Stegostoma tigrinum: one gene and its partners. The protein of the gene in region 3 purifies or fractionates together with the protein of the main gene of each other region. This does not show direct contact. Links are inferred from orthologs where the notes say so. Each region holds a gene or a part of one and is shown on either strand. Other genes may lie near its edges. The genes, in order: sptan1, enkur and myosin-9-like.

Region 1 (7,740 bases), on a different chromosome or scaffold from region 3:
GTGTTTGATAAATATATTATACAACTGAGAAGCAATTCACATACAGCAAACGCTATAGAAAAAAAAATCAGATACAGTAGTAAGGTTTAGTCTTAATTTTGTGTTGCCAAATTTTGTAGAGTTCGTCTGTACCAGCTGCATCATTAAAATGCAACAGCTGCCAGACTCACGTTTTGGAATATTGTAACTGAAGTTCAAACAGACATCTCATTCCACACCCCACATTCAATTAGGAATACAGATTAACTCCATCCTGATTTCTCCCATGAAATTATCCATTACAATGTTTACAGTAAAAGTACTTTTTTTTCAAAAAGAAAAAGATTTATTGATTTATTCAAAATAGCGTGTATTTTTAATAAACTGAAAGATGATATTCAAAATATTTCCTATCACCAGAGCTATATACAAAAAAAAACCCCACCCTGAACACACTTGTGCACTGCACAATTTTTTGGTGACGCAGTACACTAAACACTTGCACTGCAAAATTTCCTTCTAACTTCCAGATAATTAATCCCCTATTGTTTTTTTCCAAAATAATTCATCAAAAACAATACACACACACACACACAGTCAGTATAGGAAGATATTCTAACTTTGAAGCAAAAGAAAAAGGGACTCACAATAAATTACATCTAGGGATGGGCAAGAAATGCTGGCCAGCCAGTGACACCCACATCTCACAAAATGAATAGATTAAAAAAACCTCATCCAAAATAAAAAAGCTTTTTTTAAAAAACCAAAAAAACTTTGTCCCATATGCAGATGCTGAAATCCTGCAGTATAGAAGACAAAGAGCTTAAAATACTCAGCAGATCAGGTAGCAGCTGCGAAGCGAAACAAATATAACAGTTCAGAACGGTGATGATTCCTAACTGCAATATACTTCTGAGTTAAGAAAGGTACCAGATCTGAAACAGCACATATTATAATATATAAATTATTTGGATTTTAACATTAAATCGTGTATTGAGACATAGCATACATAGCTTAAACTTGAATTTTGTAATTACCAAATGACATTCTTAACAATGGTCTTTGGACTTTTCACCATTTTACACTTTTAACTGTTTTCTTGACCATAAAATAGTCTCCTCCCTACATATTTGAGATAGTATTTAAATTATGCATAACTCCAGACAGCAATTTACATTTTATGAAGTAAGAACATGGAGGTTAATGAGTGAACATGCAGATTTCTTTTTATAATAGGGACACTGGGCTTGAAGCATTTAGCTGAAAATTTTCCACCCCACATATGTTGCGAGATCTGCCATTTCTTGTTTTATGTACATTTTTGAAGGTTTCTTGGGTGATGACTGAACCGCACAAAAATAGTTTGAACTCCCTAGCTTCTATTCCATTCACATTTGCTAAACTCATTCAAACCTAATGCTGATTGATCCATCCATCCATGAAATGATCCATGAAGAATGAGCCAATGTTTCATATCATGTCACACATCAGAAATTCATGGTCTCTTATGATTACATCATGACAGCTAGATTTATAATACTCAGGCCTGACCTCTCTACTGAATATTAAGCTGCAAGTACAAAGTTGGACACGGACACTGATGACAATTTGCTTAATTAAGAAGCCAGGAGAACAAAGTAAATATTTACATAATTTAAGAAGTCAAAACAAATGTATCAGTTACTACAAAGGAAACCTTAACAGAAACAATTTTACCTAGCATGAAACCACAAAAGAGGCAGAATAATACTTTATACCTTGCAGACCGGTGCGGGGGGGGGGGGGTGTGTGAAGAAATCAGCTGTAATTAATGCAAGGAACATGTATGTAAAAAACAGCCAAAAATAGCACTCATCTACCACAATTCTTGAACATTTGTACAGTAATTCATTATCCTCAGCCCCACCCAGCTTTCTGCTCTCAAATTTTTAAGGGTCTATGTTGGTGAAGCATTTTCCTTTTTGATATGTTCCTGTCTGCAACAGTTGCTAAAAAAATGCCTTTACATCTGTTACTATAGAATAATAGTCTCTTCCAAACATCAATTACCACAATAATAAATTACACGTAATGAATCTTGACTTTCTGCAGTTGGCATTCTTTCAATAAATCGTTTTGGATATCACCTACAACATCCCAATAATTATATCAGGCATCAACTTTCTCATTAATAAATATTTCATCATAATATAGCCCACAAAATGCCAATATTTTCACCAAACGGTGGCCATTTCTGTACAACTTTTTCTTCAGCCACCAACTGTAGCCCCTACTCCGTAAGTCTATTTACTGTATGGCTGACAGGTTCTGCACTCCCCATTCACCCAACCTTGTCCCCATTTCTGGGGAGGATTAATTTCAGATTAAAAAACAATTTTCCCCCATGCCCGGGGATGAAGCCTAATGCAGCGTGGAAGGCCAATAATGTTTTTTTAACCCAAAGCAACCTCAGAACGGATTACCCACCAAATTGTGTTTTATATATCTATATGATTTTCTCTGACCTTGTTGCGGTCACAGCCGCAGGACACCCTCCCCCGCAGCCATTTTAAGGTCCATTGTGGTTGAAAAGACAATAATAAACCTGAGAAAAATCCATATCTAACAGAATTTAAACATGCTGTGGTGGTGTCTGTGAATGCACGTACCGAGACAAAAATGCGCAACGAGGAAAACAAATCTACATTTTCCATTTGCCAAGTTTTCTTCGAAAAAGGAAAACATTGAAAATGAAATATACTGTATAATTATCGATCAAAAAAATATATTAGCAAACATTCCTTCGCTCTCCTCAGACGGGCGTCAACGCCCGAAAACAAAATCGACTTTAACTGAAACCCTTACAACTTACCCATCAAGGAAAATGTATGCTTTAAATATTTTAGCTCACAGCTTCCTCGTTTTAAACATTTTTATATTTCCGAGAAAAGACAAAATTAGAAACGCGGCAAAGAAGTGTGCCCGTTTGAATGAAAGAAGTGGCCTTCAACGGACGACCGACTGCTCATTTCTACCTCAAAAAAAACGTTACATTTCCAGATAAGTATGAAACATACCGAAGGTTGTCGACGACTCGATGATCGCTGCAGACTCTCTCGCTCCGGGCTCGCACCGGCCTTTTTTTACCGTCCGCGGCGATGATGTCACTGCTCTGCAGCAAGGAAACGAAGGAACCCGAAAAGCCTCGGTACTTTCCGTCACCCAGGCCGCGGGGCCACCTTCGGCACATTCCGTCGCCGGGGCCACGACGTCACTTTCGGCCCTTTCCGTCTCCCGATACTGTACCGGCTCCGTGCTCGGATGGCGCAACGGTTTCGGAAAATTCGGTCCGTCGCCCGGGATACCCTTTCGGCAGCCTCATAGAAACCGGACAGTGCGGAAAGAGGCCATTCGGCCCATCCGGTCTGCATCGACTCTCCGAAGAGCATCCCACCCACACCCAACCCCAGTCTGTCTCCATAGCCCTGCATTTCTCATGGCTAACCCACCTCGCCTGTACATCCCTGGTCACTATGGGCCAAAATAGCATGGCCGTCCACCTAAACAGCGCATCTTTGGACATCTCCACCCTGACCACACCGCTTTCAAAACTTCCTTTTGCTTCCAGAAGTGCTGTCCAGACTAACGTGTGAGGGAGAGAAGACTCGGCTACAGCATAGTTTAAGAGGCATCCGGACAAACACATAAACAAGGCAAGGATATGGACCATGTGCAGGCAGATGGGATTAGTTTTGAGAGGCTTCATGGTATTTGAGACATCGTGGGCCAAAGGGCATGTTTCTGTGCTACAAGGCGTAGAGCTGGATGAACACAGCAGGCCAAGCAGCATCAGAGGAGCAGGAAGGCTGACGTTTCGGGCTGAGACCCTTCTTCAGAAAACTGTTCTATATTCTATGACCCTTGGGTTCAAGACTCGCTCTTGTAGATTTTTATTTTCTCATCAATCTGTTCAGCAGAGTTATATACCTATAGGGGACTTCAACTTTCCAAATATTGACTGGGAACACTACAGTTCGAGTACTATAGATGGGTCAGTTTTTGTCCAGTGTGTGCAGGAGGGCTTCCTGACAGTATGTAGATAGGCCAACAAGGGGCAAAGCCACATTAGATTTGGTACTGGGTAATGAGCCTGGCCAGGTATTAGATTTGGAAGTAGGTGAGCACTTTGGTGATAGCGATCACAATTCTGTTATGTTTACTTTAGTGATGGAAAGGGATAGGTGTATACCACTAGGCAAGAGTTATAGCTGGGGGAAAGGCAATTACGATGAGATTAGGCAAGATTTAGGGAGCATAGGATGGGGAAGGGAACTGCAGGGGATGGGCACATTAGAAATGTGGAGCTTATTCAAGGAAAAGCTCCTGTGTGTCCTAGATAAGTATGTACCTGTCAGCAGGGAGGAAGCTGTAGAGCGCGGGAGCCGTGGTTTATGAAGGAGGTGGAATCTCTGGTCAAGAGGAAGAAAAAGGCTTATGTTAGGATGAGATGTGAAGGCTCAGTTAGGGCGCTTGAGGGCTACGAGGTAGCCAGGAAAGACCTAAAGAGAGAGCTCAGAAGAGCCAGGAGGAGACATGAGAAGTTGTTGGTGGATAGGATCAGGATAAACCCTAAGGCTTTCTATAGGTATTTAAGGAATAAAAAAATGAGGAAAGTAAGATTAGGCCCAATCAAGGATAGTAGTGGTAAGTTGTGTGTGGAGTCAGAGGAGATAGGGGAAGCACTAAATGAATATTTTTCAATAGTCTTCACTCTAGAAAATGACAATGTTGTCGAGGAGAATACTGAGATACAGGCTACTAGACTAGGTGGGATTGAGGTTCACAAGGAAGAGGTATTAGAAATCCTACAGAGGGTGAAGATAGATAAGTCCCCTGGACCGGGTGAGATTTATCCTAGGATCCTCTGGGAAGCCAGGGAGGAGACTGCCGAGCCTTTGGCATTGATCTTTAACTCGTCATTGTCTGCAGGAATAGTGCCAGACAATTGGAGGAAAGCAAATGTGGTTCCCCTGTTCAAGAAGGGGAGTAGAGACAACCCTGGTAATTATAGACCTGTGAGCCTTACCTCAGTTGTTGGTAAAGTGTTGGAAAAGGTTATAAGGGATAGGATTTATCATCATCTAGAAAAGAATAAATTGATTACGGATAGCACGGTTTTGTGAAGGGAAGGTCGTGCCTCACAAACCTTATTGAGTTCTTTGAGAAGGTGACCAAACAGGTAGATGAGAGTAAACCGGTTGATGTGGTGTATATGGATTTCAGCAAGGCGTTCGATAAGGTTCCCCACAGTAGGCTATTGTATAAAATGCGGAGGAATGGAATTGTGGGAGATATAGCAGTTTGGATCGGAAATTGGCTTGCTGAAAGAAGACAGAGGGTGGTAGTTGATGAGAAATGTCCATCCTGGAGACCAATTATTAGTGGTGTCCCGCAAGGTTCGGTGTTGGGTCCACTGCTGTTTGTCATTTTTATAAATGACCTGGATGAGGGCGTAGAAGGATGGGTTAGTAAATTTGCAGACGACACTAAGGTCGGTGAAGTTGTGGATAGTGACGAAGGATGTTGTAGGTTGCAGAGAGACATAGATAAGCTGCAGAGCTGGGCTGAGAGGTGGCAAATGGAATTTAATGCAGACAAGTGTGAGGTGATGCACTTTGGTAGGAGTAACCGGAAGGCAAAGTACTGGGCTAATGGTAAGATTCTTAGTAGTGTAGATGAGCAGAGAGATCTCAGTGTCCATGTACACAGATCATTGAAAGTTGCCACCCAGGTTGACAGGGCTGTTAAGAAGGCATACAGTGTTTTAGATTTTATTAATAGAGGGATCAAGTTCCGGAACCAAGAGGTTATGCTGCAGCTGTACAAAACTCTGGTGCGGCCGAACTTGAAGTATTGCGTACAGTTCTGGTCACTGCATTATAAGAAGGATGTGGAAGCTTTGGAAAGGGTGCAGAGGAGATTACCTAGGATGTTGTCTGGTATGGAGGGAAGGTCTTATGAGGAAAGGCTGAGGGACTTGAGGCTCTTTTCATTAGAGAGAAGGTTGAGACGTGACTTAATTGAAACAAATAAAATAATCAGAGGGTTAGATAGGGTGGATAGGGAGAGCCTTTTTCCTAGGATGATGATGGCGAGCACGAGGGAGCATAGGTTTAAATTGAGGGGTGAAAGATATAGGACAGACGTCAGAGGTAGTTTCTTTACTCAGAGAGTAGTAAGGGAATGGAACGCTTTGCCTGCAACGGTAGTAGATTCGCCAACTTTACGTCCTTTTAAGTCGTCATTGGATGAGTATATGGACGTACATGGAATACTGTAGGTTAGATGGGCTTGAGATCGGTATGACAGGTCAGCACAACATCGAGGGCTGAAGGGCCTGCACTGTGCTGTAATGTTCTATGTTCTGTATGTTCTATATACCTCTGGGACAGGTGGGACTTGAACCTGGGACTCCTGGGGACACTTTCATTGTGCCACATGAGTCTCCATCACGCTTGTAACTAAAATAAGGGCAACTATGAGTGCATGAAAGCAGAACTATGGAGACTGAACTGTTAATTAAAGTGGCCTGGATAAAATCAATAGGGAGAAACTGTTCAAGTTTGTAAAAGGAACAATAAAATGATTTGTAAAAAAAATGATTTGAGGAAAAATATCATTTTTATGCAGTCAGTGATTAGGGTTTGGACTGTGAGATAATTCATCCAGCTATACACCTTGTTATCTAGGGTTTGGACTGCAGTCCCTGAAAGGGACAAGTTCAGGGACAAGGGACAAGAGGCAGGTTCAATTGAGACATTCAAGAGGCATTGGAGATTTAGTGGAAAAATAATGTGCATAAGTTTGCAACTAGATAATGATGCTCTTTTGAAAAGCCACACAGGCACAATGGGCCATATGGCTTATTTCTGTGCCATAAGACTAGTTAATACTAGACAGTCAACATGTCAAGGGCAGGTCATGGTTGACAAACGTAATTGAGTTTTTTTGACAGTGTGACATTGGCAGTGGATGAGAGTATATTTGTGATGTTGTGGATGTTGTATATTTGAACTTTCAGAAAGTGTATGCTGTAGTGCCAAGTTGCAGGTTGGTTAGCAAATTAGAAATGCTTGGAATTTATGAGTCTTTGGCAGCATGGATTAAAAATTGGTCAAAATATAGGAAAAAATGGGTAGGTATAGATGGACATTTCTCAAACTGGTGACGAGTTGAAAGTGGTGTTCCCTGGGATTGGTGTTGGGACCCTTTTTCTGATTTATATAAATGATTTGGAGATGGGAGTTGACAGCAAAATCTATAAGCTAAGGAGAATAGTGAATTGTGAGGATGATGCTGAGTGACTTCTGATGGACATGAATTTCAATGCAAAAAAGTCAGGTCATGGATTTGTTAGAAGAAACTTGGAGAGACAGTATGGGTTCAATAGTACAACTTTGAGGGAAGTACAGGAGCAGAAAAACCTCAGGGTTCAAGTGTGTAATTCTCTGAAGATGGCCAGGCAACTTGAAAAAGTTGTTAAGGCGGCTTATAGGATCCTTGGGTTTATTACTAGAGGCATAGAGTATAAAAGCAAGGTAATGGTGCTACACCTCTATAAATCATTGAGCAGTTAATATCTGGAGTATTGTTTTGAGTTCTGGACACCTTTTTTAAGGAAAAGACTTAAAGCCTTGGAGAGAGTTCAAAGGAGATATATTAGATGGTAACATGAATGGGGGATTTTAAACTCAAGGAAAGATTATAGACATGGGTTCTATT
Region 2 (7,982 bases), on a different chromosome or scaffold from region 3:
TATTCCTAAATTCTGTCCACACTGCATCATTTGAAAACCCTTCCAAAAAAAATCATTCCTCCCTATTGGAGTAACTAACTTGTTAATTAATAGTCCAATACCATCTCTTCTATTGCATCCTCCCCACCTCTCCTAAAGATCCTAAACACCAGAATGTTGTATTGACACTCCTGTTCCTTCCTCAACCACATTTTTGTGATGGCAACAATATCAGAATTCCATGTGTCAATCTGCACCCTTAACTCTTCAGCTTCACGTATGATACTACTTACACACTTGCAATTCAATATAGCTGAACTCTATCTGTCTTGGCTCCTTTATTATAGTAAGTTGTGTCCTTATTGTCCTAATACTCTGTGTCCCACCCTCCTGTTGAACTAGCTTAAACTCCTCCCAACAGCTCTAGCAAACCAATACACAAGGTTCCATTTTGGTTCAGATGCACAATGCTTCACTTGTGCTGGTTCAACCTTTCCCAGAAATGGTCCCAGTAATCCAGGAATCCCTCCTGCCTGCACCTTCTCTATTGCCATGTATTCATCTGCCCTATTCTCCTATTTCTATACTTGTTAGTACTCATGTTAAGCAAATCATCTAAGTCAATGACTGGGAATTTAAATATCATTTAAAAGATTATTAGCCTCCAAGGGGATTGCAACAGCTGGTGATTGCACAATATTCCATCCAGCTTCCTTCACCATTTCTCTGATAATGATATATATGAGTAGCAAGCCCTGGACAACATCCAGACTTAGGCTGATAAACAGGGAGTATTACAATCCCCGTAGACACTAAAAACGTTTTAAAAGAGATTTTCAAGTGACTAATAGGTGGAACAGAAAAATAAGGTTCCACATTTTAAAATTTTTACTGTAAACAGAGGATATTACAATCCCTGTAGACAATGAAAGAATTTTAAGAGATTTTCAAGTGACTAATAGGTAGAACTGAAACACAATGTCCCACATTTTAAAACTTTTTCTGTAAACTTCCTAACAAATCTGTCTCTAAAATTGTCTGAGGGGTAGAATTAGCCACGTTGTCTTTCCTGTGAAAACAACACAAAGAAATGTGAAATCTTTTTTAAATGATGGAAAACTCCAAGGTATCTATTTCAAAGCCACTGAGATCTATCGTGTAACAGTCTCTTGTTTGTTACAATTCCCATAAAGTATCTAAATTTTATAAAGAGATGAATTTCCCCTGCAACTGACAGGAAGAACTAAAAGGACAAGATGTTAAGAATTGTTCTTTGCCAGAAAACTAAAAACTTACAGAGATCAAACATTACTGAGTGGCAACTAATACATTAATCTCAAAGAAGCATGATTTTCCATTTACAAAATGTTTCAGTGCGCCATACTTTGAACAGATTTGTAGCATTTCAAGAACAGTTCCACAGTCACTCCTAGCTCGCCAATGGAATGTCACTTCTCCCTACCACGTCAGCCTCCAGTTCAAACAGCAGCTGTCTTTTTAACATCTTTTTACTCCCACCTCAACAGATTTCTGTTCGCGCCTCTCCTCTTATGACAACCAGATCATACAGATATGTGTCTGAGCTGAGGTGTTTATCCAGAATTCCATGTTTCATTTTGAATGAAAAGTATATTTCATAGAATAAGTAATATTTACCTCTCAAATGCCAAACAATAACCATCTCCAATAAAAAGGGACATAAACTATATCTGCTTGACATTTAATAGCAATATCATCAGCAAATCCAGAAGAAATACTTTCCTAATGGTTATTAGTGATCAGAAAACTTAACTGGACCAGCTGCATAAATAAATAGTCAAGATAAGGTATCCTGCACCAAGTGACTCACCTTAGCCCCAAATGTCTGTTCACTACCTCTTCACAGCATTCAGGAGATTCAAGACCAGGCTGGACAAAGCTATACACTTGACTGCAAACCATTCTCCAAGTTAAAGATTCAAAAATTCTAAAACCATGCTTCTTATCCCCCATTATTTGTTCTTCTCAGACACATCTTTATTCATTCTCTCGTTCTTTATGCTTTCCACTTTTGACTCAATTTCTCTCATTCCGTCCCTTGAGAGTCTCCTTTCCATTCATTCCTTCTCTTCATCTCAATCTCTGCGGCTTTATATCACTTTTCTGCCCCCTTCCCTTTCGGTAAATTCTGTCTCCCTCAGTCCTCCATATCAAAGCAAAATCTCTCCCTCCATACTCTAGCTCGTCGTTGACTCTCTCTCTCCAAACCATAACTCCGTTCCCTTATACCCTCTCTCCAACCATCACCTTCACTCTAACCGCACTCACCTGTTCCTTCTTTCCAAACTCTAAGATCCAGATTCCCTCTACCCTCTCTTCCCTCATTTGAAAAACCCCACTCTCTCTCCTTCCATGTCTCCAAATCCCCTCACTGTCCTCAACCCGCACTCATTCACTTTTTTGTCATTTTCTCTGTCCGTCGTCCCTCCTCTCCTTCCGCCTATCCAAGCCCTCTGTCCGTCGTCCCTCCTCCTCTAAACCCCATCTTTTTCCTCCATGCACTTCTTCCCTCTCTCCAAACTCCCCATCTTTCTCTTCCATCTATTCGCTCCATCTCTCCAAACTCCCTCTCTCCATTCCCCACATTCTCTTTCTCCTTCCCTTCCCTCCCCACATTCTCTCTCTCTCTCTCTCTCCCCAAACCCCCGATCTTTCGATGGGTCTCCTACTCCCTGAACGACACCTGGCGGGGTCAGTTCCATGTTTTGGAAACAAGCATTCTGTCCGGAAACTCACTTGAGGCGGTGGCGAGGCGGAGGCTGGGGCCGGGGCAGCAGGTTGTAAATACACTCACTCGGAGTCTCGTCGTCCATCGCGGAGATCCGACAAACCGTTTGAAGCTGGTGGAACGAGAAAGACCACGAAGCCACGTTGCCATAGCCACCGTTACCACCAACAGACTTAGGCCAGCATACGTCATTTCCGAGATAATAAGATGTGAAGCTGGATGAACACAGCAGGCCCAGCAGCATCTCAGGAGCACAAAAGCTGACGTTTCAGGCCTAGACCCTTCATCAGAGAGGGGGATGGGGAGAGGGAACTGGAATAAATAGGGACAGAGGGGGAGGCGGACCGAAGATGGAGAGTAAAGAAGATAGGTGGGGAGGTAGGGAGGGGATAGGTCAGTCCAGGGAAGACGGACAGGTCAAGGAGGTGGGATGAGGTTAGTAGGTAGCTGGGGGTGCGGCTTGGGGTGGGAGGAAGGGATGGGTGAGAGGAAGAACAGGTTAGGGAGGCAGAGACAGGTTGGACTGGTTTTGGGATGCAGTGGGTGGGGGGGAAGAGCTGGGCTGGTTGTGTGGTGCAGTGGGGGGAGGGGACGAACTGGGCTGGTTTAGGGATGCAGTAGGAGAAGGGGAGATTTTGAAACTGGTGAAGTCCACATTGATACCATATGGCTGCAGGGTTCCCAGGCGGAATATGAGTTGCTGTTCCTGCAACCTTCGGGTGGCATCATTGTGGCACTGCAGGAGGCCCATGATGGACATGTCCTCTAGAGAATGGGAGGGGGAGTGGAAATGGTTTGCGACTGGGAGGTGCAGTTGTTTGTTGCGGACTGAGCGGAGGTGTTCTGCAAAGCGGTCCCCAAGCCTCCGCTTGGTTTCCCCAATGTAGAGGAAGCCGCACCGGGTACAGTGGATGCAGTATACCACATTGGCAGATGTGCAGGTGAACCTCAGCTTAATGTGGAATGTCATCTTGGGGCCTGGGATGGAGGTGAGGGAGGAGGTGTGGGGACAAGTGTAGCATTTCCTGCGGTTGCAGGGGAAGGTGCCAGGTGTGGTGGGGTTGGAGGGCAGTGTGGAGGGAACAAGGGAGTCACGGAGAGAGTGGTCTCTCCGGAAAGCTGACAGGGGAGGGGATGGAAAAATGTCTTGGGTGGTGGAGTAGGATTGTAAATGGCGGAAGTGTCGGAGGATAATGCGTTGTATCCGGAGGTTGGTAGGGTGGTGTGTGAGAACGAGGGGGATCCTCTTGGGGCGGTTGTGGCGGGGGCGGGGTGTGAGGGATGTGTTGCGGGAAATACGGGAGACGCGGTCAAGGGCGTTCTCGATCACTGTGGGGGGAAAGTTGCGGTCCTTGAAGAACTTGGACATCTGGGATGTGCGGGAGTGGAATGTCTTATCGTGGGAGCAGATGCGGCGGAGGCGGAGGAATTGGGAATAGGGGATGGAATTTTTGCAGGAGGGTGGGTGGGAGGAGGTGTATTCCAGGTAGCTGTGGGAGTCGGTGGGCTTGAAATGGACATCAGTTACAAGCTGGTTGCCTGAGATGGAGACTGAGAGATCCAGGAAGGTGAGGGATGTGCTGGAGATGGCCCAGGTGAACTGAAGGTTGGGGTGGAAGGTGTTGGTGAAGTGGATGAACTGTTCGAGCTCCTCTGGGGAGCAAGAGGCGGCGCCGATACAGTCATCAATGTACCGGAGGAAGAGGTGGGGTTTGGGGCCTGTGTAGGTGCGGAAGAGGGACTGTTCCACGTAACCTACAAAGAGGCAGGCATAGCTGGGGCCCATGCGGGTGCCCATGGCCACCCCCTTAGTCTGTAGGAAGTGGGAGGAGTCAAAAGAGAAGTTGTTGAGTGTGAGGACGAGTTCAGCTAGGCGGATGAGAGTGTCGGTGGAGGGGGACTGGTCGGGCCTGCGGGACAGGAAGAAGCGGAGGGCCTTGAGGCCATCTCCATGCGGAATGCAGGTGTACAGGGACTGGACGTCCATGGTGAATATGAGGTGTTGGGGGCCAGGGAATTGGAAGTCCTGGAGGAGGTGGAGGGCGTGGGTGGTGTCACGGACGTAGGTGGGGAGTTCCTGGACCAAAGGGGAGAAAATGGAGTCCAGATAGGTGGAGATGAGTTCGGTGGGGCAGGAGCAGGCTGAGACGATGGGTCGACCAGGGCAGGCAGGTTTGTGGATTTTGGGAAGAAGATAGAAACGGGCCGTGCGGGGTTGGGGAACAATGAGGTTGGAGGCTGTGGGTGGGAGGTCCCCTGTGGTGATGAGGTCGTGAATGGTGTTGGAGATGATGGTTTGGTGCTCGGGTGTGGGGTCATGATCGAGGAGGTGGTAGGAGGTGGTGTCGGAGAGTTGGCGTCTGGCCTCGGCGATGTAGAGGTCAGTGCGCCATACTACCACTGCGCCACCCTTGTCTGCGGGTTTGATGGTGAGGTTGGGGTTGGAGCGGAGGGCTGCCCGTTCTGCGGGGGAGAGGTTGGAGTGGGTGAGAGGGGTGGAGAGGTTGTGGCGGTTAATGTCTCGACGGCAGTTGGAGATGAAGAGGTCGAGGGAGGGTAGGAGGCCTGGGGGTGGTGTCCAGGAGGAGGACTTGTGTTGGAAGCGGGTGAAGGGGTCAGTGGAAGGAGGGTTGGGTTCCCGGTTGAAGAAGTAGGCATGGAGGCGAAGACGGCGGAAAAACTGCTCTATGTCCAACCGTGACTGGTATTCGTTGATGTGTGGTTGTAGGGGGACAAAGGTGAGCCCCTTGCTAAGGACTGACCGTTCGTCCTCAGTCAGTGGGAGGTCTGGGGGGAGGGCTCAGTGTGGCTGTCTTCTCTGGGGTTGCTGGCTGTGGAGGTTGTGGGCGGAGCGATGAGGTCGTCGGCCGTGGGCGGGGTTCCGTCGGCGTCGGCCGTGGGCGGGGTTCCGTCGGCGTCGGCCGTGGGCGGGGTTCCGTCGGCGTCGGCCATGGGCGGGGTTCTGTTGGCGTCGACCGTGGGCGGGGTTCCGTCGGCGGTTGGAGGATGGGGGTGGGCGGCAGCAGCTGAGGTGAGGGTGGTGTGTCGGGTGTTGTACCTGGACGTGGAGGTGGTGACTGCAGCAGCGGTTCCGGAAGTTCTGTGGCCGGCGGAGGCGGATGTGACGTCATCGGTGGGGTCTCCGGCCGTGTCCTCATGGTCAATGGCGGCGGGTGCATGGTGGGAGAGGGGCAGGGACAGAGTCGGGATTTGGGAGGCGCAGGAATCCTCTAGTGGGTGGCAGGGGCCCGTGAGTTGGTTGTACTTACGATTTTTGGTGTCCAATAAAGCTGAGTGGAACTGGGTGTTCAGTCTGTGGATCCTGCGGAGGGTAAAAAACAGCAGGGGTCCTTTGCAGGTCTGGGAGATGGAGGCTCTGAGCTGGGGCAGGCTGGATTGCAGTGTGTGGAGGTGCCGGCACATGGCTGCGAGTGTCTGTTTCAGGAGTCGCAGGGAGAACCGCTTCTGTTTCAGTCATTTCCGCCCCGCTGCCCTATCTGTGCATGGTCAAAACATTGACCAAAACCTGCCCCCACCCGTGGAAGGGGAAAACCAGAAAGACAAGGGAGATTCCATGCATTTGTGGGATGTGGGCTTCTCTGACTGGGCCAGCATTTCTTGACCATCCCTAATTGCCCTTGTGAAGGTGGTGGTGAGTTGCCTTCTTGAATCGCTTGCTGTCCACCTGCTGTAAGTTGGCCCACAATGCTATTAGGGAGGGAATTCCCAGATCTGACCCTGCAACAGTGAAGGAACGGAGATATGTTTCAGGTGGTAATTCTATAAACTTCTTCACCAAAAGGGCTGTGAATCAATGGAATTCTCTGCCCGGTGAAGCAGTTGACACTACCTTGTTGAACATTATTAAGGCAAAGATTGATTTTTGAACAAGAAAGGAATTAAGAGTTCCAATGAGCAGATAGATAAGTAGAGCTGAGTCCATAAAAAGATCAGCCATGATCTTACTGAATGGCAGAGCAGGCACAAGGGGTCAAATGGCCCACTCCTACTCTTGTTTCTCATGTTGTTAAAGTTTTTCCTCTCACTTTGAACCTATGTCCTTTTTTGTGAAGACAGTAGTGATGTATATGTCAGGATGGCGAGTGGCTTTAAGTGGAACTTGAAGGTGGTGCTGTTCTCATACGTCAGCTGCCCTTGTCCTTCTAGATGGAAATGGTAGTGGGTTTGGATGGTGCTCTCTGAGGATCTTTAGTGAAAAAAGTAGAAATAAAGATAGAAAGTAGGTGTTAGTTGTGATGAAGTGGGAAATATTACTGAGGGGAATGACAGTGGATAGGTAATGGCAAACATTCAAAGAGCGAATGGGTGAACTGCAAAAAAATGTTTATTTCTATCTGGTGCAAGAGTGCAGAGAGAACAGTGGCTAAACAATGGGGTATAATGGAAGTTAGTTATAATACTAAATGCAAACAAGAGGTATACAAATTGACAAGAAAAACACCATAAAAAGTCCTGAGGATTGCGAACAGTTTAGAAGTCAGCAAAGGAGGATCAAAAAATTGATTAAGAAGAGGGGAAATTGAGTAGAGAGTAGGCTTGCGGGAAGATAACTGTCAAAGTTCTATAGGTATGGTAAAGAGAAAAAGATTGGTGAGAACTGTTGTAATTCCCTTACAGTCATTAATGCAGGAATTTATATGTGGAACACGAAAAAGGCTGACAACCTAAATTCATACCTCTTCGCAAAGGAGGACATAGGTTCGAAGTGAGAGGAAAAGATTTAAGGACATAAGAAATAAGAGTAGGAGTAGGCCATTTGACCCCTTGAGCCAGCTCTGCCATTCAGTAAGATCATGGCTGATCTTTTTGTGGACTCAGCTGTACTTATCCACCTGCTCATCATAATCCTTAACCCCTTTATTGTTCAAAAATCAGTCTTTGCCTTAATAGCATTCAACAAGGTAGTCTCAACTGCTTCAGAGATAATAGGAGCTGCAGATGCTAGAGAATCTGAGATAACAAGGTGTGGTGCTGGATGAACACAGCAGGTCAAGCAGCATCTTAGGTGCAGGAAAGCTGACGCTTTGGGCCTAGACTCTTCATCAGAAATGTTTACTGACGAAGTGTCTAGGCCTGAAACGCCAGCTTTTCTGCTCCTAAGATGCTTCTTGGCCTGCTGTGTTCATCCAGTCTCACCTGTTTCACTGGGCAGAGAATTCCATAGATTCACAACCCTTTGGGTGAAGAAGTTTATAGAATCCCCACAGCGTGGAAA
Region 3 (6,969 bases):
TGAAATTTTGGCAGAATACAGTACCCAATACAGACCAATATCATTAAAATTCTTTCCAACTTTTTAAAAAGTACTTCACATTTTTTGTTCTTCTGCTCCCTATGTAAAAGCTTTTCCAGAAAGAAACAAAGCAAGACAGTGCAAAGGAAACATGAAACATCCATCATGAACAAGTCAGAACACCACTCTACATTCTTAAGCACGCCACCACACCTTGATGCCCTAGAAACTTGGAAATCATGCAAGACAAAAAGGAGTTTGGACTACTTATACCTTGATCGTATACAGACATATTGTCACCTATACCTTTAGCTTTTACCTTCAAGGTATGCAGGTTTGATTTTTATAAATTACCAATTCTATTTTATGAAATATATTATATTATTGTTCCATTTGACTACCAAATTCCTTTTCCAAGTGTGAACATTCAGAAAAGATGATAATTTCTGCAGAAGTTAGTCCTGTACAAAAACATTATATTTAAATAGCTTAGAAATTTCAAATGGAGTATTTAGATTACTTTTTTCCAAATGATTTCATAAAGCTAAAGGAAGATAACAGAGTTAAAACTTCAATAATTACAAAATGTCCAAATGCCAAAACTACAAGATTTCAGTACCTTCTGAAATGCCATAGAAATGTCAAAAGTCCTTTGCCACATTTGAAAGTGACACGGTCTTTTTACTGCAGTAAATTATGGCTCAATTTATTAATTACTTATTCTCAAATAGGAAGCAGGGCAACCTCCCCATTGACAATATTGAGATTTCAGACAACATTTTGAAAGATACACTAACTTAAATGGACTAAATCTTATAAATCATGTAGATAAATAGTTTATTTGGGACTTTTAATATAATGAAGCATTTCAAGGTGCTGCACAGGAACAATACATACAAACTTAAACATCAAGCCACACAAGACATTAAAACAGACAAGAGGATGGTTTTAATAAAGCACCTCAAATAAATAAGACGAGGTTGGATGGGAGGAAGAAAAGGTACAGAAGAACTGCAGCTGAATGAGGGAATTCCACAGCTTAGGGCTCAGGCAGCCAAAGGCTATCAATTATACAGGGATGAAAAAATGGGGACACACAAGCCGCCAGAATTTGAAGAGTGCAAAAATCTGAAGCCTGTAGTGCTAGAGATCAGAGGTTGAAGGGAAAGAGATGGACTCAAAATTAAAGATGATAATTTTAAAATCAAAACATTGCAAAACCAGAAGTCAAATAGTTCAAACAGTGACAGGTGAGCAAAAGTTAAGCATAGAACATGAGCAACAGAAGTTTGGGTGAATGTAAATTTTATAGAAGAAAAGCTTGATCAATGTCACATTACTGGAAACAAAAGCATGAGGAAAGTGATCCTCAGCATTTCACTGCTGCATTATTCATAGTATCAGAAGAAAAACAACAGTATGCATTTTGGAAATATTCAAGCTTGTTTTGACATTCTTAACCTCTGTAAAAATGCATCCTTCACTAGTAGGCAGTATAAGCTACCAGGCATTTTGAAGCAATAACATTTTCAAATTCCAGAAAAGTTATAGTCAGCTAACGGGAAGGCTTTTGTAAGTTATCAGCACACTTCTCCATGAGTCATTCTTGACTTACATTACAGTTTTACACTTCGAACTGGGTGGGGCTTTAGTTCATGCAGAAGCCCTAAGGATTTGCAGAAGGTAAAGAGCTATCATATGGCAAAGCAGTTTAATGACCTCATTTGCAGTACTTTCAGGTAAATAAGCTGTACACCATCTAAACTTCTTCCTTTTAAACCATCATCTCCAAATTTGGGGAATATGTAATTTATCCAATTAACAATTTTTTTAAACAAAAATCTAACCATTTTAAAAGGAAGTATTCAAAGGTTATATTCTAGGTGCATAAGGGTGTTTTACTTAAACACAAATTATATAACCCACGTTTTCAAAGTTTCCTTATGCATTTAATTTTGGAAATGAATTGTTAGATATTATAACAGTAACATTTCACACCATAGTTTTTACTTGTCAGAAACAAGAAAGTCAATTACTGTCCTTAGGGTGCTGACAATTTTAATGATAATGGGATGGGCACTTGGGGAAAAGATTGAATTCTCCTCTCTTCAAAATTCAAAGTTTTATTTTAACTTCATAAAAGCAGCTTTTCATTACTGTCCTGGAACAGAACATAACTATGCAAGCTAAATGATACCAAAAATATTTTATATAGGACAATTGCGTACATAAGAGTGGATTATTCTGCTCTATATTAAATCAATGAAATGCCTCTCGCCAGCATTCCACGTCCCAGAGACGTAATCATTTTAACTGCTATCTTACCAACTAATTATTTTAGACTGAGAGAAAAATCACATTTGATTTTTTTTAAGAGGAGGCAGGGAGTTCATACAACCGAAGAAGCGGAAGCCAAGCCCATTTTTATAGTGGCTGGAACGCGAAAGGCGGTTTCCATGTTACCTGTCCCCTGATTAGCACGAGTTTGAAAATTACAAAAATGCATTAACAATCCAGCTCACACTAACTCCAAAAAACTCAATTCTTTTGCAGATTAAGGTAGTTTTTAAATTCGTCAGTAGAGTTAGTCGATAGAGCAAAGCTATCCTCTGAACTTTTTTTTTAAAAAGGAAAAAGTATTTAAATTTGATAGGAACGAAATTGCCCGTGGCGAGACAGCAGTGTGGAGCTGGAGGAACACAGCAGGCCAGGCAACATCAGAGGTGCAGGAAAGTTGACGTCTTGGGTCGGGAGCCTCTTGCCTGCGGCGAGCGCGCCGGCCCAACCCGGTGTCTGACTCTCTTCCTGGTTTCTCTCCCTTTTCCGCCTTAATAAATCGACCAAAAACAAGGTGCTTTTTCAAACTGTCGCTTACCTCCGAGATTCAAGTTTTTTTTCGAACGCTGTCGCCTTCCTGAATTATAATCTATAGAAATAGATGGACTTTGCTTATCGCTTTTTAATCCAAAATTTTAAAAATGCTGTCCGTCCGTCACGATTCACTGCTTCGCTCGAGCTCTCGAACTGCAGCTCGCGCACCAACCGTTTGGGCAGATCCCACCCGTGACGTAAACTTCCACCCCTGACCAATAGACGGGCGCCGTGCTAGTTGAGTGGCAGACGATATAACAAATAGCAAGAAAGAATCCCCCATCGTCGGGGCAGCTCCCTCTCCAACTGACTGATAACTCCTCCTACAGCGGCAAAGCCAGGAAAGTGGCTAATGCCGCAGTCATATGGAGTGATGAGGTAAGATTGAACGACATCTCGGTCGGCCAACGGAGAAGGACATTGAAGGAGGGGATGTGGTAAAAGCTCAAAATTGAAGGGATTGGTAGCTCCCGACTTGCTTAGCCTTAATTTTTATTTTATTTGTTGATGGGTATGTGGGCAAAACTGTTTGGTCCAACGTCTGCTGTCTATCCCTAATTGTACGGAGAGAAGTCAAGAAATAACCATGTTACTGGAACTTTGGAGTCACGTAGGCTTGACCAGGTAAGAATAAGAACATTGTTAAGAAATATTGAGCTATTCAGCCCATTGAAACTGCTCTCCAATTTAATGAGACCACGGTTGATCTGATAAACCTCAACTCCACTTACCTGCCTTTTTCCGAAAACCTTTGGTTCCCTTACTAATTAAAAATCTTACCTTATTCTATCTGACAGAACAGAATCTTCAGAAGAAGGATCCCGACCTGAAACGACAACTTTCCTGCTCCTCTGTTGCTGCCTGGCCTGCTGTGCTCCACTGGGTCCACACTGAGTTCCCTCTACCCACACACACAATTTTGACTGGAAAAAAAGCCAACCTTTCATTTGCCTTAAAAGTAAAACAAAGACAAAAATTGCAAATAATTCTGAAACAAAAACAAAAATTGCTGGAGAAACTCAGCAAGTCTAAAGCATCTTTGGGGAGAAAAACAGAGTTAAGGTTTCAAATCCAGTTATTCTGTCAGAACTTCTGCTCCAAATGTGTTTAATTACATCTCTGAACAAGTTGAATAGAAAAATCTCCAGTACTGCCCGTTTTGCACCACTGACCAAGATGAATATCCTCACATGTTCAATTGATTCAATCACACTTTCCAGTATAACAAAATTACAGACATCAGCATACAATTTAGAAATGCAGACTATTCTGAAGGTTCCCCTCCCTTTACAGAATCCAGTCGATTCCTAAATTATGTATGTTTTTTGCACTACACTACCTGGGATTCTATTCTGTATTAATATTTTTGTGTATATCATTACTTCTTGTTAACAGTCGTAAAAATACTCATTCTATCACATCACATCATATCATTTTCCCTGCAATTGATAACAAGCAGCTCTGAACATTCTCTGATAAGAAAGGTATTCAAACTGACGAAAGGCCATACCAAAGCTGCCAAAACAATTCAATAAGTGGCTGTTCAATGACTTGAAAGTCCAATGATTCCAAAACCCAAACGTCCCCTGATTCACTCTTGGTTTGTGTTGACTTATTTGATCATAAGCATCCTACAACTGACAGTAGAAGCACCATTTGAAAATTGAATAACTAACTAAACAGTGAATGAACACCACAACTGGTAGATCTAGGTTCTGTGGCATTTGATTTGGTCTACCATGAATTTAAATCAATATGCACCAAGTGGCAACATAGTCAAGTCCATTTCATTAATTTATTTTTCATGAAGTGACTGCAACAAGAAGTTTGTTAAAAAGTTGTTGTGGAGTTTTATGATCTTGATAGAATGATTGGAATGTCATTTGACCGCCCTGGAATCAAGAAAAATTAACTAATACTGCTTTAGCCACTGTTTAAAATTGCTAGTCATGGTCCATTTCTAGTCAGTGGCAACCCCCAGAATATTGATAGTTGGAGATTCAACTATGAATGATAATGCATCATGGGCAGATGGTTGAATTCTGTATTGTTGGAGATGGTCATTACTTGGCACTTGTGTATTGCAAATGCTCCTTTCCACTTATCAGCCCAAGTCAGGATCTTGCTGCATTTGGACACTGACTGTTTCAGTATCTAAGGAGATAGCAAGAACTGCAGATGCCGGAGTCAGAGACAATACAGTACGGAGCTAACAACAACACCTTCCAGTCACCAACCATTTTAACTCCTCCTCCCACTCCCTGGGTGACATGTCTATCCTGGGCCTCCTTCAGTGTCACAATGACACCACCCACAAACTGGCAGAGCACCACCTCACATTCTGCCTTGGGAGCCTACAGCTCAATGGCCTAAACACTGATGTCACCAGTTTTAAAATCTCCCTATGCCCGGCCTCATCCCGTGTCTAACCCTCCCTCTCATCCCCCCTCCTTGACCTGACACAATTTGTCGATCTTCTATCTACCCAACACATCACACCGACCAATCCCCCCACTCCCTACCTGCACGCACCTATCACCATCCCACCTACCTTCCCCAGCCCCACCCCTCTCTCTATTTCTGAGCTCCCTTGCTCCTTCCCATTTCTGAAGAAGGTCCTGACCCAAAACGTCAACTTTCCTGCTCCTCTGATGCTGCCTGGCCTGCTATGTTCCTCCAGCTCCATACTGTGCTACCTCAGTATGTAAGGAGCTATGATGGCTCTGAATATTGTGTAATCATCCATAAACATGCCCCTTTCTGACCTTATGATGAAGGGTGCATAATTGTTGAAACAGCTGAGGAATTCCTGCAGTGATTTCTTGTGGCTAAGATGATTGATCACCAACGACCACAGACATCTTACTTTACGTTAAATATGACTCCAAGTAACAAAGAGCTTTCCCTCTGATTCCCATTTGGCTAGGGTTTCTTGGTGCCACACTTGTTCAAATGTTGCCTTAATGTCAAAGGCAATCACCCTCACTTTCCTTCACAGGTTCATCTCTTTTATTCATGTTTGGACCCAGCCTATAATGAGGACAGTAACTCAGTGGGCCAGACAAACTGAGCGACAGTGAGTAGGTTATTGCTGAGTAAGTACTGCTTTGCTCACTGCAGGTTACACCAGGTGAATATAGCAAATTTTCCCAATCCAAAGGGCATTCATGAACCAGATGTTTTTGGCAATTACTTCATGCTTACCATGAAATTAGCTTTTAGTTCCAGATTTATTCACTAAGTTCAAGTTGAACATTGTTGGATTTGAACCCATGTCCCAAGAGCTTTAGCCTAGATATCTGGATTACTAGTCTAATGACAACACTAGTATATCACCTATGATATTGATAGATCATCCATCTCCCCATGATCTTTTTCAGATAAATAATGTTGTAGGATCTCTCCATTCACATAAAAATACAGATCAGACCTTAATTGCTGATCTAAAATATAACATTTCCAACAATGCAGCACTCTCTATGCCTTTTGAAGTATCAGCTAGATGATATGTTCAAGCCCAGGAGCAAGCTTTAAGGTTGAAGCCGCTGACTTAAAGATGAGAATCAACTGAGCTAAACTGACCTCAAAGAAAGAGAAATCCTGTCCTGAAACTATCTGTCTGTAGTAGACAGTAGTGTATCACTCCCTGATGTGATATTAAGAAGATGATACACACATTGCTCCTTTCCTCCTATTGGCACCGGAGTAGGATGCTTCAGCAGGAGGTCATCCACTCTATCCATTTCTTTCCTATTTCTTTCTCTTTTTTTTCTCTCCTGGTGTTTCTTTTCTTCACACGCGGCCTCAATGCAGACCCAGTGAGGTCTCCTCTCAGCCTCTGGCAGTCTCTCGGCTGAGTCTCTTGGTGGCCCATGGCAGTTTCTCGGCCCAATGTAGTGGTGCCTTGGCCCCATCTCTCAGCAGCCCATGCTGGTTTCTCAACCTAGTATGGCAGTGTCTTGGCCCCGTCTCTCAATGGCCCATGGCAGTCTCTCAGCTTGGCATGGCAGTGCCTCACCCTGGAATCTCGGCCCAGTGTGGCAGAATCTCCCCCCACCCCACCAATGTGAGGGACGCCATAGATTGGGTAGTCCCTGT

Evidence for each region.
Region 1: the proteins of myosin-9-like (region 3) and sptan1 fractionate together in Homo sapiens (co-fractionation; 3 studies listed by BioGRID and IntAct, with this or other methods). This does not show direct contact. The link is inferred for Stegostoma tigrinum from reciprocal best matches to the Homo sapiens genes MYH9 and SPTAN1.
Region 2: the proteins of myosin-9-like (region 3) and enkur purify together in Homo sapiens (affinity purification with western blotting; 4 studies listed by BioGRID, with this or other methods). This does not show direct contact. The link is inferred for Stegostoma tigrinum from reciprocal best matches to the Homo sapiens genes MYH9 and ENKUR.

Annotation. Positions count from the first base shown.
Region 1 is NC_081382.1:41,948,847-41,956,586, reverse strand, and holds the start of sptan1 (spectrin alpha chain, non-erythrocytic 1), read right to left. Parts: upstream 3,062-7,740; 5' UTR 3,036-3,061; intron 53-3,035; 5' UTR 1-52. UniProt on the Homo sapiens protein: Fodrin, which seems to be involved in secretion, interacts with calmodulin in a calcium-dependent manner and is thus candidate for the calcium-dependent movement of the cytoskeleton at the membrane.
Region 2 is NC_081355.1:121,134,052-121,142,033, forward strand, and holds the start of enkur (enkurin), read right to left. Parts: upstream 3,062-7,982; 5' UTR 2,991-3,061; coding exon 2,755-2,990; intron 1-2,754. UniProt on the Homo sapiens protein: Adapter that functions to localize a calcium-sensitive signal transduction machinery in sperm to a calcium-permeable ion channel.
Region 3 is NC_081391.1:3,548,228-3,555,196, reverse strand, and holds the start of myosin-9-like, read right to left. Parts: upstream 3,048-6,969; 5' UTR 2,876-3,047; intron 1-2,875. UniProt on the Homo sapiens protein: Cellular myosin that appears to play a role in cytokinesis, cell shape, and specialized functions such as secretion and capping. Required for cortical actin clearance prior to oocyte exocytosis. Promotes cell motility in conjunction with S100A4.